Nothobranchius furzeri: one gene and its partner. The protein of the gene in region 2 interacts with the protein of the main gene of each other region in a biochemical or structural test. Links are inferred from orthologs where the notes say so. Each region holds a gene or a part of one and is shown on either strand. Other genes may lie near its edges.

The links.
Region 1: the proteins of erbin (region 2) and abcc4 interact in a test that uses a peptide from one of them, tested with the Homo sapiens proteins (2 studies listed by BioGRID and IntAct). The link is inferred for Nothobranchius furzeri from reciprocal best matches to the Homo sapiens genes ERBIN and ABCC4.

What each region holds. Positions count from the first base shown.
Region 1 is NC_091754.1:57,242,104-57,246,420, reverse strand, and holds the start of abcc4 (ATP-binding cassette sub-family C member 4), read right to left. Parts: upstream 2,982-4,317; 5' UTR 2,829-2,981; coding exon 2,755-2,828; intron 1,715-2,754; coding exon 1,604-1,714; intron 1-1,603. UniProt on the Homo sapiens protein: ATP-dependent transporter of the ATP-binding cassette (ABC) family that actively extrudes physiological compounds and xenobiotics from cells.
Region 2 is NC_091746.1:65,311,174-65,315,516, forward strand, and holds the start of erbin (erbin), read right to left. Parts: upstream 3,062-4,343; 5' UTR 2,833-3,061; intron 1-2,832. UniProt on the Homo sapiens protein: Acts as an adapter for the receptor ERBB2, in epithelia. By binding the unphosphorylated 'Tyr-1248' of receptor ERBB2, it may contribute to stabilize this unphosphorylated state.

The DNA of each region.
Region 1 (4,317 bases), on a different chromosome or scaffold from region 2:
CATCTGACGCTGTCAACCAACTGTCGCTTTTTACCTGGAGACAATCCAAAGACTAGTCTGTCGTACTGCTGACACTGTTTCACCGGCTCCGGTACCGAAAGGGGGGTCCGAGGACCTGGCAGTCTGGATCTGTAAGGAGGTCTCATCCTAATGGTATGTGTAGAGCGACAATATGGCGTCTCGTGTTTATGAAACTCCGATCAAACTCTGATCATAGCTAAAAGCAAAACATCACAACATCATTCAGACTTGCTTCTCCAGATATGAGAGTTCTGATTACATCACTCACACATACACCATTCATCTCACGTCTCATTCACACCAGATCCATTCATCACTTAGAGTTAGTCTTGTTTAAAATTCTTTAAAATTGTTTAGAAATAAATCTTCTTAAACGTTTTAAAGGTGACTCTCTCGTCTCTCACTTAATACAAGTGTTACATAATCCCTGCAATCAAAAGTTCCAATCTTCTGGTTAAAATAACCCAACTGTCCGTAAGGTTGATTTCATATTTACTATGGAATCTTACATCTTACGGGTCCTTAATTAGAAGTAAATTAACTCTTTTACATTTCTTTCCCCTTGCCATGGCAACAAGGGCTGCATTCCAAGTACAGGGAGCTCTGCTGGTCGTTTTACCAGCATGCACAGCTACAGAAGTGGAATGCAGCCCTCACTGATACACCTGTACCTTCTCTAATCTGTCAAATAAAGATGAAGTGTCCTGGCTCACTTTAAAGCGACGTCTCTGCTGGCCCGACTCCTCCGTTAGTGTGAGCTCAAGCACCAGTTAGATATTTATTTACAAACAAGCGATCAGAGTTGTGATGTCCTGATTAGTCTCCTTAAAAGGCTGGATCCAAACTGCCAGATAAGAGTTAAAAAGATCAACATGTGTGGTGTTGTGCATCGTTTATGGTTCTGGTTTTTCCTCTGGGAGTTCCTCAGAAATAAACAGAGCCGCTTGTGTTGTTGGAGATAAAAAAATCTGCGAGACAGTAGTTACACAGCTACTGGCTCCTTATCCTTTAAAAGGAAGTGAGAAAGAAGAAAGCTGCCTTCAGAGCAGCACTAAAACCCGTTAAATCACTGAGAAATTTACATTTCAAAATAAAGAACAAACGGCCTCCTCAGACCAGAGAGGGCAGAAGGGTAGCGGTGCAGACTGGAACCAAGGTGTGGATCTATCAGCACGGGAGAGAAGAGACTCGCTTTTGTTTGTTTACCAACAAAGTTCAACTAAACTAACGACGATCATCACCGTTCGTCCAGCTTGCTTCTAACAGATCTGGTTCCAATCAGCTGTCAGTTCCTAAAAGCTCAGTCACAGTTTTAAGAAAACAACGAGTACAATTAAACCACGCGTATCCTGTTAGCCTCAGATTAAAGGGATCATAAAAGCCGCTGTTTGGAAAATGGGAAATGTCCATCCCCATGAGAACCGTGGAGTAGACTGCTACCGCCGCGCTGTTTCAAGGCAGCAGGAATCCACAGTCACTATCTGTTAGCTTATCGATCTGGTCACACTTGTCTTCCATTTATCACCAATAAGAACAAATCTGTAACCTGTCCAACATTTAGGAGATAAAGCAGCACGCTCACCTCTGTAACTCCTGTCCCACGTACTCCGACTTGTCCTCCGAGAGCACCTCGAACATGTCATCCTCCTCCAGCCTGCGTTTGTAGCCCGTTCTAAAGAGAGGATTCAGCCACCTGACAGGAGAAGAACAGACCAGTCAGGGGGCCAGAGCGATCCAGTTCATCCCATTCAGGAAGTCACCAGTTATGATCCAGCTCTAGTCTGATCCCACACACTTCCCTTTTTCATTAAGGAGCCTAATGACACCTGACACATTCACCATGAACCTCGAGAGGACAGTTTGAACCAACGTTTTACACAAAAATCTTTATGGTATTCAAGTTTTTCTGCCATTTTCAGCTCATTGGAATAAACAGTAAATATAGTAGTAAGCAAGTGGACCGGGCTCAATTAGTATCCAAACAACATCTCTGCAAGAAAATCTAGTTTTAATTCAAGACAAACTTTTAGACTTGCTGTTTCTGACCAATCAGCATCCCCGAAAACAACAGATTTGAACATTTATGAGTATAAATAAATACTGTAAACTCAGTTTTCCACTTACACAGATTTATGTCACCCTTAATAACTCAATCACACTTAATCTGAGGCCTCACGCGCATATTTTAGCAGGATTTTCATTTGTACTCCTTTGATTTTTTCATTGTTATATCTTGGTGTAATCCTTTTGAGTCACATTTAACTTCTGCGTCACGGCCTCAGATCATTTAAGTCTTTTTGGGAGTGTTTAGCTTGTGCACAACGTCACTTTTCTCCCTGGGAAACGTAAATAACCGAGACCCCTGGAACAGAACCGAATCAAACGCAGTATCGTCTAAATTCAAAACACCTGGCGCTTACGGTTTTCCGGTTTCAGGAGCTGGCGCGTGTGATGACACGACGGCCAGGTGTCCTGTAGCTGGTGCCACTAAGCTAACAGGTAATAATAAAAACAAAACGGGTCAAAAAACTAACAAAAGTGAGAATAAACTCCGCTAAAAGACGTTTTAAATCGAACTGCTGCTGAGCCCATGCTTTGTCACAGCAGCACTTCCGTTTGAATACTTTTACTTATGACAAAAGTATGTAAACACAGTAAAAGTGAGCAGAGACACGTTTGAACTCCCCGCTACGCTAGCAGCGTCTCGCGCACGCCGGGTACTATTTGACCTACCAGAAAAACACCTTCGACAGGAGGTTCGCCGTCGCTGCCGGGTTGGTCTTCGCATCTCTGCTGACTTTCTCCATGGTTGCCGGCCGGCTTCCACACAGTACTCCACCTCCCTTAACTTTCTCCTCCTTTAAAAGCTGCCTCCGGCTAAGTGGCGCAACTTTGTAGTACGCACATGTTACAGGAGGGTCCTGCTACTGTACGGTGGATTACATAACACGTCAAGACACGCAAGCCGTTATTACATGCAGAAATAAAAAAAAAGGAAATAGAAACACTTCCAGGTCCCGCCCTAAGCAAATATGATTGGCTAATAAAATAAGAGGAACTATTCTATTGGCTGAGTGTTTACAATGCTCTCACGCGATTGGCCTGCGATTTTACGGGTGTAGAATGTGCTCCATGCGATCTAATTAATTATCTATTAATCCTTTATTGGGCACCCATTGAAGAATTTAAACTTTTAAATTTTCAATAAAATTGTATTTTTCAATAAAAGTACACTTCTGTTGTTACAATTTTCAAAAATACTTATTTTCAAGCAGAAATTCAGACGGTGATTAAATATGGACGTTGGTCCTGTTCTAGAATAAGAAATCCCAAAAATAAAAAACATGAACAAGTTTTTATTTTTGAATAATATAGATAATTATAAGACACTTTAGAATAATCTAACTAATTTTAAAACATATGACTCTTTACTAATACACATTATATCAGAATTACTATAGAATTTTTTAATGAAACCTGATAACTGTAGAATATTTTAGAAACGTTATTGAACAATAGATACTATTTCTAATCAAATATAGATTATTATATTATTTTAGAATATTTTATATTTCAGGATCTGTCATCTTCCTCCTGTTCATCATCATCATCACTGATGGTGAGATTGGTTGGCACAATACCTGTCCTCCATTTCCAAGAGAAATCTTAGTTTAAAACTGCAAATATATTCAATATCATAATTGTTCCTGTTACTATGAAGATTTTGTCTAAAAAAACAACAATTTTATCTAAAAATATTCATAACTTCTTTTACTTGTTCAGGGCGTATGTTCAAATATGGCAGATTTGATTTTTATTCGATGATTTCACCAATTTCATTGGGTTTAACATTTACAACACATATATCCTTATTTAGCACAACTAGTCAACCTTGTGACGTGAGAGTTTCATGAACATTGTTAGTTTTAGCGTTCTGACCATAAACACGAGAGGAGAAGTTTTCTGGCTCTGCAGACACCAATATTTAGCGCGTTATAGCCCCGCACTGATTGGTGGAATGGTGCCATGGCGCAAACCATGACAAGTTTGATTTCTGATGATTGTTTGGGTGAAATACTGTAACTCTAAGAGTTTGTAAAAAGGCATACTGACAGCATTTATGACGTGAGTGGAAGTATCTATTAGACACTGGCCCCTTTAAAGAGTTAATCATATAAACAGAGGACTGGAACAATTTTAGACAAATTTACTGACAGATCCTGATCATGAAATTTATCTAAACCAATTCTACTTAGTTTGTGAAACTGTCAGTGGTTGTGGGATAATTGTCTTATT
Region 2 (4,343 bases):
CCCTTTACAATCTTTATACAGAAACACAATGTTATAAAACTGTTACAGACTTATGATTGATATTTTATAAATGTTATTTTTACAAATATAATCTTAGTTACCTCACAACCTAGGCACAGACTAAATTGTGGAAATCTCCTTGGAGGGTCACAGACGCCAAGTTGCGAACCCCTTTACAGGTCCTTCTCAAAAAATTAGCATATCGTGATGAAGTTCATTATTTTCTGTAATGTACTGATAAACATTAGACTTTCATATATATTAGATTCATTACACACAACTGAAGTAGTTCAAGCCTTTTATTGTTTCTAATATTGATGATTTTGGCATACAGCTCATGAAAACCCAAAATTCCTATCTCAAAAAATTAGCATATTTCATCCGACCAATAAAAGAAAAGTGTTTTTAATACAAAAAAAAGTCAACCTTGACATAATTATGTTCAGTTATGCACTCACTACTTGGTCGGGAATCCTTTTGCAGAAATGACTGCTTCAGTGCGGCGTGGCATGGAGGCAATCAGCCTGTGGCACTGCTGAGGTGTTCTGGAGGCCCAGGATGCTTCGATAGCGGCATTAAGCTCATCCAGAGTGTTGGGTCTTGCGTCTCTCAACTTCCTCTTCACAATATCCCGCAGATTCTCTATGGGGTTCAGGTCAGGAGAGTTGGCAGGCCAATTGAGCACAGTAGTACCATGGTCAGTAAACCATTTACCAGTGGTGTTGGCACTGTGAGCAGGTGCCAGGTGGTGCTGAAAAATGAAATCTTCATCTCCTTAAAGCTTTTCAGCAGATGGAAGCATGAAGTAGCTAGCTGCATTGACCCTGCCCTTGATAAAACACAGTGGACCAACACCAGCAGCTGACATTACACCCCAGACCATCACTGATTGTGGGAACTTGACACTGGACTTCAGGCATTTTGGCATTTCCCTCTGCCCAGTCTTCCTCCAGACTCTGGCACCTTGATTTCCGAATGACATGTAACATTTGCTTTCATCCGAAAATAGTACTTTGGACCACTGAGCAACAGACCAGTGCTGCTTCTCTGTAGCCCAGGTCAGGCGCTTCTGCCGCTGTTTCTGGTTCAAAAGTGGCTTGACCTGGGGAATGCGGCACCTGTATTCCATTTCCTGCACATGCCTGTACACGGTGGCTCTGGATGTTTCTACTCCAGACTCAGTCCACTGCTTCCGCAGGTCCCCCAAGATCTGAAATCGGTCCTTCTCCACAATCTTCCTCAGGGTCCGGTCACCTCTTCTTGTTGTGCAGCATTTTCTGCCACACTTTTTCCTTCCCAGAGACTTCCCAATGAGGTGCCTTGATACTGCACTCTGGGAACAGCCTATTCGTTCAGAAATTTCTTTCTGTGTCTTACCCTCTTGCTTGAGGGTGTCAATGATGGCCTTCTGGACAGCAGTCAGGTCGGCAGTCTTACCCATGATTGTGGTTTTGAGTAATGAACCAGGCTGGGAGTTTTTAAAAGCCTCGGGAATCTTTTGCAGGTGTTAGAGTTAATTAGTTGATTCAGATGATTAGGTTAATAGCTCGTTTAGAGAACCTTTTCATGATATGCTAATTTTTTTTAGATAGGAATTTTGGGTTTTCATGAGCTGTATGCCAAAATCATCAATTTTAGAAACAATAAAAGGCTTCAACTACTTCAGTTGTGTGTAATGAATCTAATACATATGAAAGTCTAATGTTTATCAGTACATTACAGAAAATAACAAACTTCATCACAATATGCTAATTTTTTGAGAAGGGCCTGTACAAACATTTCTAAATCAATGTTCTAATCTAAACATTAATCCATCTAATTATGCTGGACAGAACACAATCAATGTTATTGACTTCAGTAACATGCAATGTGATCTGGAGTAAATACTGCCAATTTATTTACTGTTTTGATACATTTAATTTTCCCACTGGAACTTACTACTTTATCTGAGTTTGACTCATCAGGTCAAAGATTTTATCCCTTAACAAGTTGCAGCTGATAGCTCCATGTCTTTGTTTACATTAGAGTAAGGATGGTCTGTGAAGCCAAATCTGTTAACAAGCTGATAAGCTAGGCATCAAATGAAAAGCTTCAGTTTAAAGTTGTCTGTAAGAATCATCTGATTCACACGCAGACAGGTCCTGCATCTTCTGACTACACGTCCCTTCTCAACAGCAGTCAGGTGTGTGGTATTTTTATTTTTAAAACACACAAATGTGGGTCACAATCTGCTACACACTCTCAGCGTTTACATCTGAAAGCATCAGACTGAAACAAAAAGAGGGGAACATTTACCTCAGAAAGCCTGACCCATTTAAAATCAAGATAAAAAAATCGATTAATCTCTATTTTTCTAAGTAATCTGATTAGTAACGTGATGAAAGTAAAAACACGTACAGCACGACGACTGTAATCCCCCTCCACAAACACTTTCGCTACAAGCTATTGGAATAATGACTGTTGGTGTGGGTGACATTAAACATGGTGACAGCTTTCAACACAGCGTTGAAACTGATGGATGGATGGCTGACTGACAGCAAACAGCTACAAAGCAAAGCAGCAGCCGAGCACAGATGTGGATCTGATAAAAACACAGCCAAAAGCTGATACATAAGCCATAACCCAGTGTCATTAAGCTACAAATGAGCTCTAAATTATCACCAAACATCAGCATTTTTATGAGAACTTAACGGAACAGTTTTGTAGTTTAAAATGATTAAAATAAGAAGTCAAACTCAAGTCGGACAGCATCGGCGTTGGACCAGAACGCTTCGGCGCAGCTAGCACCAACGTTAGCATTTTGCGAGAACTTGCGCAAACAAAGACACTTACCTCAATTCACGTCGACTCCGTGGGGCATGAACTGATGTCCAGTTAGTGGAGAAAAATGTGAAGTTATACAAATAATGTTTTCAGGACGAAAGCATTTGCTATCATCACAGAGTCGGTTTGTTGGTTAAAATGGGAGTTTGGCTAGGTTAGCCGTTAGCTAAGGCTGCCCACTTAAAGAGCTGCTCGAAGGTGGCCCAGTGCGCACATTTCTCCCCCGCAAGCCCTCAAGTTCCTTAACGTCTCCAGCTGTTTCCAAACACTTCAAAGTCTTAGCTTCCCAGTGACTCGGGACAGCCAAAAAATCGGAGCAAAAATCCTCCGTATCCGATCCGAACAATATCACGGAACATTAAAGAAGATCCAAAATGTCCACGAGAATTTATCAAGGAAATACAAAAGGCAAAAACGACCTCGGAACGAGGGAAAGCCTTTCCTCTGAAGTCTGTCGCGCCCAGATGTTTTCAGTCATGTTTCTTTCCGTGTTTAATCAGTGACAAAAAAAGGCGCAGCTGTGGTGGAAGTGAGCTACACGGAGGCTGGAGGAGCTCAGAAGGGGAGATTTCTTCTCTGCGACCTCTACACGCAAAAGGCAGCTCATCAGAAAGTCGCTCTCCCACCATCGCTCAGAGCCCCTCGACGATGCTTCGCTCTCTCTCCCAGACGGCGTCAGCGATTGGCCCCGACTGTCCACGGCCGCCCGGAACGGAGGTTACCCTTTAAAACGCGTCTCTATGCAGAATTAAAACAGCAGCTCAACAAATTGAGCAGTAGAAAGATATTTAAAGTTCTCATTTACATATAAACACTTTTTGCCTGCAACATTTGGCCCAATGTTACCTTAGAGCGCCCCCTGCTGTAAGTACATTTTATTGCAAGGAATTAAACCCTTTGCATGACTTGACTTTGTCACATTTCTCTAATGTGAACTGTAATTTCTCTGGCAATAATAATAATAATAATAAAAGTTAACTCATTGACCAGTTTTTATTATCCAGTACCAGTGCAAATGGTGAAACAAATTCTTGAAGGGGCGATGTGCATACGTATCTTCTACTTACCAGTTCAAAAACGACTACAACTCAGAAACAACCATCTAAAGAGCAAGTAACCCCTTACCAGAGTCTTACTCCACTCCAACTTCCTGTTTGAAAAATGCAACAAATGCAGTTGGCTGGCAGACCGAGAAGGCAGAACCGCTAACAAGTACACACAGGCTCACAACATTGTGACATCATATGGTACTAGCTGATGTCATAGTATACATCTTATGGGCCATTCCCATCTGTACCGGGTCGGCCCAGGCCGGGTAGCGTAGTTTTTACCTACAGAGGGTGCAACAGACAGATATAGGCAGAATATTTAAATTTCAACAAAGATCCAATCCAATCCAATCCTGGTGGTAAATCCTGGTGGTAAATCGGTGGTCCACACTTTTATCACCTCAAGGCTGGATTACTCAAACTCCTGCTTATACGGCATCAGTAAAGCAGCTCTTTCTAGACTTCAGCTGG